Linked DNA regions of Xenopus tropicalis. The protein of the gene in region 2 purifies or fractionates together with the protein of the main gene of each other region. This does not show direct contact. Links are inferred from orthologs where the notes say so. Each region holds a gene or a part of one and is shown on either strand. Other genes may lie near its edges.

The links. Proteins that work in one complex are often made in the same cells at the same time.
Region 1: the proteins of zcrb1 (region 2) and larp7 purify together in Homo sapiens (affinity purification with mass spectrometry; 3 studies listed by BioGRID and IntAct, counting the BioPlex papers as one, with this or other methods). This does not show direct contact. The link is inferred for Xenopus tropicalis from reciprocal best matches to the Homo sapiens genes ZCRB1 and LARP7.

The regions. Positions count from the first base shown.
Region 1 is NC_030677.2:68,967,742-68,971,811, forward strand, and holds the start of larp7 (la-related protein 7), read left to right. Parts: upstream 1-1,270; 5' UTR 1,271-1,320; intron 1,321-4,070. UniProt on the Homo sapiens protein: RNA-binding protein that specifically binds distinct small nuclear RNA (snRNAs) and regulates their processing and function.
Region 2 is NC_030679.2:64,850,738-64,854,846, forward strand, and holds the start of zcrb1 (zinc finger CCHC-type and RNA-binding motif-containing protein 1), read left to right. Parts: upstream 1-1,309; 5' UTR 1,310-1,313; coding exon 1,314-1,397; intron 1,398-2,061; coding exon 2,062-2,090; intron 2,091-2,522; coding exon 2,523-2,634; intron 2,635-2,720; coding exon 2,721-2,828; intron 2,829-4,109.

The DNA of each region.
Region 1 (4,070 bases), on a different chromosome or scaffold from region 2:
CATTTACAAACGCACCAGCAATGTTGCCAGGACCCAGTTACCCTGTCTGAAGGTGTTTGGAATGTGGGAAGAAACCCATGTAAGCAAGGAGAGAACATACAAACTCCAAGCCCAATGTGCCCCGGAAGGAAACAAACAAAAGAGCCCAAGACTAATTTGTTAATCCTGCACCATCCTACCCACTGGCATTTTGACACCTTACTTCAAGGTATGTATGTATAACTTTTTTTATAAAGCTCTACAATGATATGTAGCGCTGTATAATCTTATAATATACAAAATTACACACAGGGAGGACAAGTGTTAAAATAAATACAATAGACACAGTAGGAAGGAGGTCCCTGCCCCGTAGAGCTTACAATCTAAGTGGTTGGGTAACATACAGGCACAAATTGGAAGGTAAGAGTGCACCAGGTATGGGCATTTGCCCTTAAGCGCAGAACTAGGCAAAATCATGTTTTAGTGCTCCAGAAGATAGTTTTATCTTAAAGAGAGTGAGTGTTTCCTATGGAGGGATTCAGGGATAGAGTTCCAGAGGTAAGGAGCAGCGAGATAGAAAGGTTTAAGACGAGAGAGCGCAGTGGGTGTGGATGGTGTAAAAAGACAGAGGCTCTGAGAGGAGCGGAGGAGATGACCAGGAATATGCAGGGAGACCAGTGAAGAAATGTAGTGAGGAGCAGAGGAGTGAAGGGCTTTGAATGTTAGCAGAAGGATTTTGTAAGCTATCCTTTGCTTAACAGGCAGCCATGCTAGAGAGATTAAATCAGGCTTAAGTTAGACTGAACAGGTTCTCTCAAGTTACTATTCCTAGTTAAGAGGAATTAAGGTTTTTGACATATCCAATATCATTATCACGGGGTTTGTTGACATCTTTGGGAACGCAAAACATATTACCACCGCTTCTTCCTCTGTCTGCCTTACCAGCCGTCATCAGAAACATAAACATTCCATCTCCCACCTTGTTCTTTCGAACAAATCGCGCTTTTTCTGACGTCATAAAAATGCGCCAAAGCCACTAACGTGTATTTGTTTTAATATTTTTTGCAGTCTTTGTTTTGATGGTTGTAAATTGTACTTTTTGTCACAGTCATTGCCAACTGCTCTTACAAGCACCCACGAACTTCCTGAACCCTATCCCATACCTTGGACGCCGGTTCGTTTCCATGGTGATGCAGGCAGCTACGGGGCAGCCTCTAAAGCGCTGCATCTTGATTGGTTGATCTGGAAATTTTATGTGTCGCTCGGCTGATGACGTGAAGCTCATCCACTGCGTGTTTCTATACCTAAATCCCGAATGACATGCGAAGTTATCCGGAGCTGGTAATGTAGTGGCGTGTGCTTGTTCTCTATATTGTTGGCAATGCTGCTATCGTGAAATAAGCGATTGTTGGGGTTACTTGGTGCACATGGGTTAGCAATAGGATAAAGTGTAGGCTGGGCGCCCCACATTCACTGGGTCCTCCAACCAAACATTGTTTTGTGCATAATGTATGAAAATGTCATTCTAAACAACTTTTTCTTGTCCATTTATTAACAATTCTCACTGAGTAGCAAAAGTGAGCTGATTATAATAGACCTAGGGGTATATTTATCATGCTGTGTAAAAAGTGGAGTAAACCATTACCAGTGATGTTGCTCATAGCAGCCAGTCAGATGCTTTGGTTTTATAATAGTTGAAATCTAATTGCTGATTGGTTGCCCTGGGCAACATCACTGGTAATCCTTTACTCCACTTTTTACACAGCATGATAAATATACCCCCTGGAGAAGAAATGACGGCTACAGAGTTATAAATGTATAATCAGAGAACAAAAGAGGATTAAAGAAATACTGCTTTCAATTGTAATTACATAAAAAAAAAACTTGATATATGTTGGAAATTTGCCTGCAATTGCATTTTCTGTCATTGTGCAAGAACACTTTTTAAAAAATATATGGATGATATTTTCTTTAAGAATGGCCTTACCCATACTGTTTCAGTCTTTCTTACTTAACACATTGCTATGAATTATAATTTTTACCTGCAAAGTTATGGCAGCCATACAAACTGTACAGGTGCAGTCTACATATAGCAGTATTTCTTAGATAAACCATGGTAAATATGTACACCGCCACTGATGGGAATGTTTAAAATGAGAACCTCTAAAGACTGGAGTACACCAAGGGGTATATTTATCATGCCACTGAAGGTGCCCAAGCAAAATCTACATTTAGGGCAGGAGGAGGTAGAATTTCTATTGTTTCTACCTCCATATCTGACAATTCAGCACTGAACATCAGTGGAGGGTGGGAACGATCTTTCCTGCACGTAAGATCGTTATTGCTACGTGTATAGCCACCTTAATAGCAACTATTAACCTACAAATTTCAGATCTGTTAATTTGTAAAACTAAGAGGGATGAGAACCACCAAAAATATGTTTTGATGACGTGTTTTTAATTTGTAACTTTTCTAAATATCCAGAATGCCTTGTCAAGAATGATCTCTGGCGAGTCTAATTCCAGTTGCACAGTATATGTCCTTTAGATTTTGAAGAGAAGTAGACGGTGGATAACTCTTGGAGAACAAAATTAATGTTGCAATATTTGATTGGCTTCTCTCTTGAAAAAGAAAATATTCCTAGCTAAAGTTATTTATTATTGTATATACAAAGTAAACAAGGTCTGTGTGACAATAAAAATATTTTTCACTTCATTCTATTAGAAGTTCAAACCATTGTACCTTTGACAGCAAACTACCTGTGAACAATTCATGATGGTGCACAGTTAAAAACTATGTTTCAGGAGATCCTTCAAAGTGATGTCAGACTTGCTGCTTGTAGCATCCACTTTCTGCTGCTTTTAGTTTTCTGGTAAATCAAGCAGGAAACAGCCCCAGTCACACAGTGGATGTCATTCAAGTTCATTTTGCACTTTGACCATTCTACTTAACATGTAAATCTAATTTCAATATGCACTGAAGCAAATCTGCACACAATGCAAGGCCTTTATTGAGCAGGGAGGAGCATAGTATCAGACTGATATTAGTTTCAATGAAGTAAAGAGACTTGATTCAAGTAAATATGTTTTGTTTCTTAGCAGTGTTTGAGGAACAAATAAAAATAAAAACTCACGTTTCACAATGTAATAGTCTTCATTAGACCGTTATCGCATTGCAAACCTTAATTGTGCATAGCACACTTTAAAGGCATGCCTAAAGGTGGTGTAATCTTTTGGAGCAAAAATAACTTTTTCAGTAAGGAGTCTTATTGTATACATTGCGCACTGGTGCAAACTAGAGTCCTGCACAGAACCAAGTTTTGAGACCTGGACCTGCAACCCAAACCCACATTTTAACCTTCTTGGACCTGCCATTCAATCCGACCTGCAACTGCCTTATCCACAACCCAATCCAAAGTGCTGTTGCTGCAAACCAGAAGCAACATCATCAGAATGGGAAGGGGTAAAACATGTTTAGAGTAAAACATAATAGATAAAAGATAATATAAGATACGCAATCTAGAATAGTAACCTGTCCCTGTGTCTGAAAATCCAACCTGCAGAATACTGCTTTTTTTTGTGGATAACCATTAATACTGACTTGCTGCAGGACTCTACTACAAATGACAATATTTGCAGTCTTTCTTCACTGGTGGAAGTGGTCACTGAGCAGTTTTTGAGTTCATAAAAGCTATATTAAATTCACACAAAGAAAATTTGTTTGTGCAAAGGTATACATTTTTTTTTATTACATTTCACTTCTTGCCTTCTATTTATTTTGCCTTTAATGGAGTCACAAACTGGAGGAATAGCATATATAGAAAAAAACACATCTATTTTAATCTGTTTTAATTCCTATAATTGTGAGCTACTCTATTGCTTGCACTCTCATATATAATCCATTGACAGAGTTTTACAAATCAACACTTTGTAGTGTGCTGACACCACAGTTAGCAATTCCACAGGCATTTACTCCATGCTGACAGTCTGTGACACTTTCCTGAAAAGCATTGCTGTCAATGTGAATGACTTGAAACTGTACCAGCAGCCTAATGCAGTCTATGAAGATACCTGTATATCTACACAATTCAT
Region 2 (4,109 bases):
CCCCCCTCCCTCAAGAATGCTAAGAACTCACTCCCCCCCCCCCCTTAGGAATGAGGATATGAGCCAATCAGCAGGAAGCTGACTCATAGGGGCACATTTACTAATCCACGAACGTCCGAATGCGTTTTTTTCGTAATGATCATTTTTTTTTCAACTTTTTCGTCGCTGTTGCGGGTTTTTTTTGTATTTTGCGCGACTTTTTCGTCGCTGTTACGACTTTATCGTATATTTTCCGCGACTTTTTAGTCACCAAAATTCGGATTGGTTTTTCCGCCATTTACAATTGCAACAGCAATGAAAAAGTCGCAACATTTTTGTTTCCAATCCGATTTTTTTCCCATTCAGATTCGAGGATTAGTAAATGTGCCCCATAGTCTTACTAACTGAGCATGTTCACTTTGTCTGCATGTCTGTGCAGGAGTGAGGCATTATGGGAACTTTCTTTACACAGCTCAGCGTTTTTTCTTCCTGTTTGGCTTCTGATCATCTGAACAGGTGAAATATGGGGAGACTTAAGGGCACTATTGAGACAACTGAAGGTATGCCTGCTGCTTGAGATTAACTCTTTACTAGCCTTTCCTTCTCCTTTAACTAAAGATGTAGGATAGAAATGTTGTAAATTATGTTTTGAGGTTTTGTACCAGCCCAAGCCAACCACAGCCATTTAGCATTGAAGATCTGTGCCCCAAAACATGCTTCCAGTAGCTTCCTATCTTCTTTTTTGCCGATTCACTGCACATGCTCTGTGCTGCTGTCAGTTACTGAGTTTAGCAACTGTCTCACAATATACTGTAAATATAGAATATAAATGTCACACTATAACGTTCAGTAGTAATTACCACAGAAGATTATTGCATGGCAGCTCTGAAGCCAGTGCTATTAGTACTAGCCCATTAGGATCAGCTTATATGACAAACATCATTTTCTTAGCTTGATAATTTCTGATGACACCCAAGCTTAGTTTCTCAACAGATGTTTAGAGCACCCTGAGCATGTGAGTGTCGCAGACACTCTGACAGACGTGTCCAGTATGGTCACCCCCTGTGGAAATTTTAAAGGACTGTATTATTACTATTATAGAAATGTTGAACCTTTAGGCTGGTTAATAAGTTTGTTATAAAAAATATGGCATGTCTGACCATGTTCATTTTTAGGGTTTAATTCTCCTTTAAACATGGAAGCAGCAAACTAACACCTGTTTAATAACAAAAATGTGTATTTGTGATCATGAGATTTTCTGTTAATTCTTGAGGTATGTTACATGAGACCTGAATCTTTTGTCTCTTTTTTTTTTTTTTTTTTAATTTAAGAACATGAGTGGAGGACTAGCGCCTAGTAAAAGCACAGTGTATGTGTCAAATCTTCCCTTTTCGCTAACCAATAATGACTTACACCGGGTAAGTGTTTGTTGTTCCTCTGCTCCTGAAGAATTCTTCATTCATTTTATATTGACTCATGGTTAAATGACCATAACTGATTAAAGGAACAGTAACACCAAAAAATTCAAGTGTATAAAAGAAATTCCAATATAATGTACTGCTGCCCTGCACTGGTACAACTGGGGTGTTTGCCTCAGAAACACTACTATGGTTTATATAATGAATGCAGCTGTGTAGCCATGGGGGCAGCCATTCAAAGGAGAAAAGGCACAGGCACTTAGTAGATAACAGATAAAACACTATTGTATTCTACAGAGCTTATCCATTATCTGCTATGTAACCTGTGCCTTTTCTCCTTTTTTCCAGCTTGAATGGCTGCCCCCATGGCTACATAGCAGCTTATTATATATAAACTATAGTAGAGTTACTGTAGCAAACACACAACTTTAACCAGTGCAGGGCAACAGTACATTATATTTCATTTACTTTAAAACTCTTTAATTTTTTGGTGTTACTGTTCCTTTAAATGTAGCCCAGGGATGCCAGTCTGAAACCATTTTCAGCAAACTAGTTAATGAGTAATATTCCACATTAGTGATCTTACTGTTTTGATTTTTAAGTGTATTGTACAATAAGCATTGTTTACCATGCTGGTCTAATTGTGGGTTTTATGCGTTTCTAGATTTTTTCAAAGTATGGAAAAGTAGTCAAGTAAGTGAAGTTTGACCCTTTTTACTATTATTACCACATACTTTGCACTCTATGTCTACTACTGATGCTGTAGTTGGTAAATTAGTTTTTAAAGAAATGAGAAAAATATAATTCTAGTTAAAAGCAGATTGATTCTTTTAAAATTTTAATTTGGAAATTAGGGTTAAGATTCATTTCAGTATGTTGATTGTTTGGTGTAGTTTGAGACTGGCACTACCGTTGAACCTTGCGTTAGAGTTCAGTAGTGCAAGATAATGCTTTGCAGTGCCCAGTAATAGTGTGACAGAACCAGGCCTCTTTGCGAACTTATTCCTCCTCAAAATACACTACTAGAGGAATACTGAGGAATGATTTATTTTATAATGTGGATAAAATGAACATAACTTGTGTACCTCTCACTCTGTAAATTTCTATCCTTGTTTTTATAATAAGGGTCACAATACTGAAGGACAAAGATTCTCGGAGGAGCAAAGGGGTAGCATTTGTTTTATTTCTAGATAAGGAATCTTCACAGAACTGTGTTAGAGGCTTAAACAATAAACAAGTACGTTACACAAACTCTGAATTTGTTTTATCTATTTTACTAATTGGCTACAATTAAAATGTGTAACTTGTACCTTTTTCATTTAGTTGTTTGGTAGAGCAATTAAAGCAAGCATTGCTATAGACAATGGCAGAGCAACAGAATTCATCCGGAGGCGAAATTACACTGATAAATCCAGATGTTATGAGTGTGGGGTGAGTTAAGAAAATACTCTGGATTTTAGGGACAAATTCTATGCCATTAACCATTTATCTGCCTGCTGTTTCACCAGATTAATGGTGCTTAGTGAAGTGTTACTGGGCAAAACTTTTTCTTGTAGTAAAACGTTTTAAACCTGGAACTGTATGTATGTGCTATTATTATTTATATAGCGCCATCAATTCACGCAGCGCTTTGCAGAATAAAGGGGTACAAAAGACAAAACGGTTAACATGTACATATAGACAATTCACAAAAAATAGCTTACAGTTACAGTTGGATAAGGATTGGAAACACTGGGGAGAGGGCCCTGCTCACAAGAGCTTACATTCTAAAAGGGAGTGTGGCTGAGACATAAAGTCAAGGTAACTAGCATGGCGTTAGAGTTCGTGTTGGTGTGTAAAGTGACAGTAAGTGCAGAGTGAAAACCAGTGGTTAGTGAGTGTATGACGGAAGATTAGGGGTGCTCAGTGGGTAATTGCATTTCTGAGGATTTAGGTTATAGGCTTGAATGAAAAGGTGCTATGTCATTGGTAGGCTGTTGCTTTGCTTGCTAGGCTGTACGTGCTATGTAGTCAGCAAGCAATGGGTCACATGGAAATTCTTGGAGCATCAGACAAATATTAACATAATTTTAGGCATCCTCAAGTGAATATAATTTAATTTTCAAAAAAATTCTCTGCTGCAGTGTTTGGCATTAGGGATGCTGAGAAAAGGTATACAAAGCACCAGTGCAACACTTTCCCTGGGCCAGTGGAGTTTTTTTTTTTTTTTTTTTTTTAAGGGCACTGGCCTAGCAGTTACATAGTGTTGAAAAAAGACCAGAGTCCATCAAGTTCAACCCTTCCAAGTAAACCCAGCACACACAACCTATACTTACCAATCTATACACTCACATATATATCAGGTCAGTGATTTATTTCAGCATACCATCTACGCGTTTCGATCACCACAGGATCGTCATCAGGATGATATATACAACCACTACCGTAATACTGACTGTAGATATTAGTATCACAATAGCCTTGGATATTCTGCTTGTTCAAGAACTTATCCAGGCCCCTCTTAAAGGAATTAACAGAATCTGCCATTACCAGATCAATAGGAAGGGCATTCCACAACCTCAATTCATTCAATGGAGGGTGCCTAACATTTTTTACGGCCCAGTGGAATAGGGTTTTCATGTGCTTTAAACAGTTTTAACATGACAGTGCTTAGTGACATGCTATAATGAATGTTGACCATGTTTAAAATATGATGGTGCTAGAGATTACAAT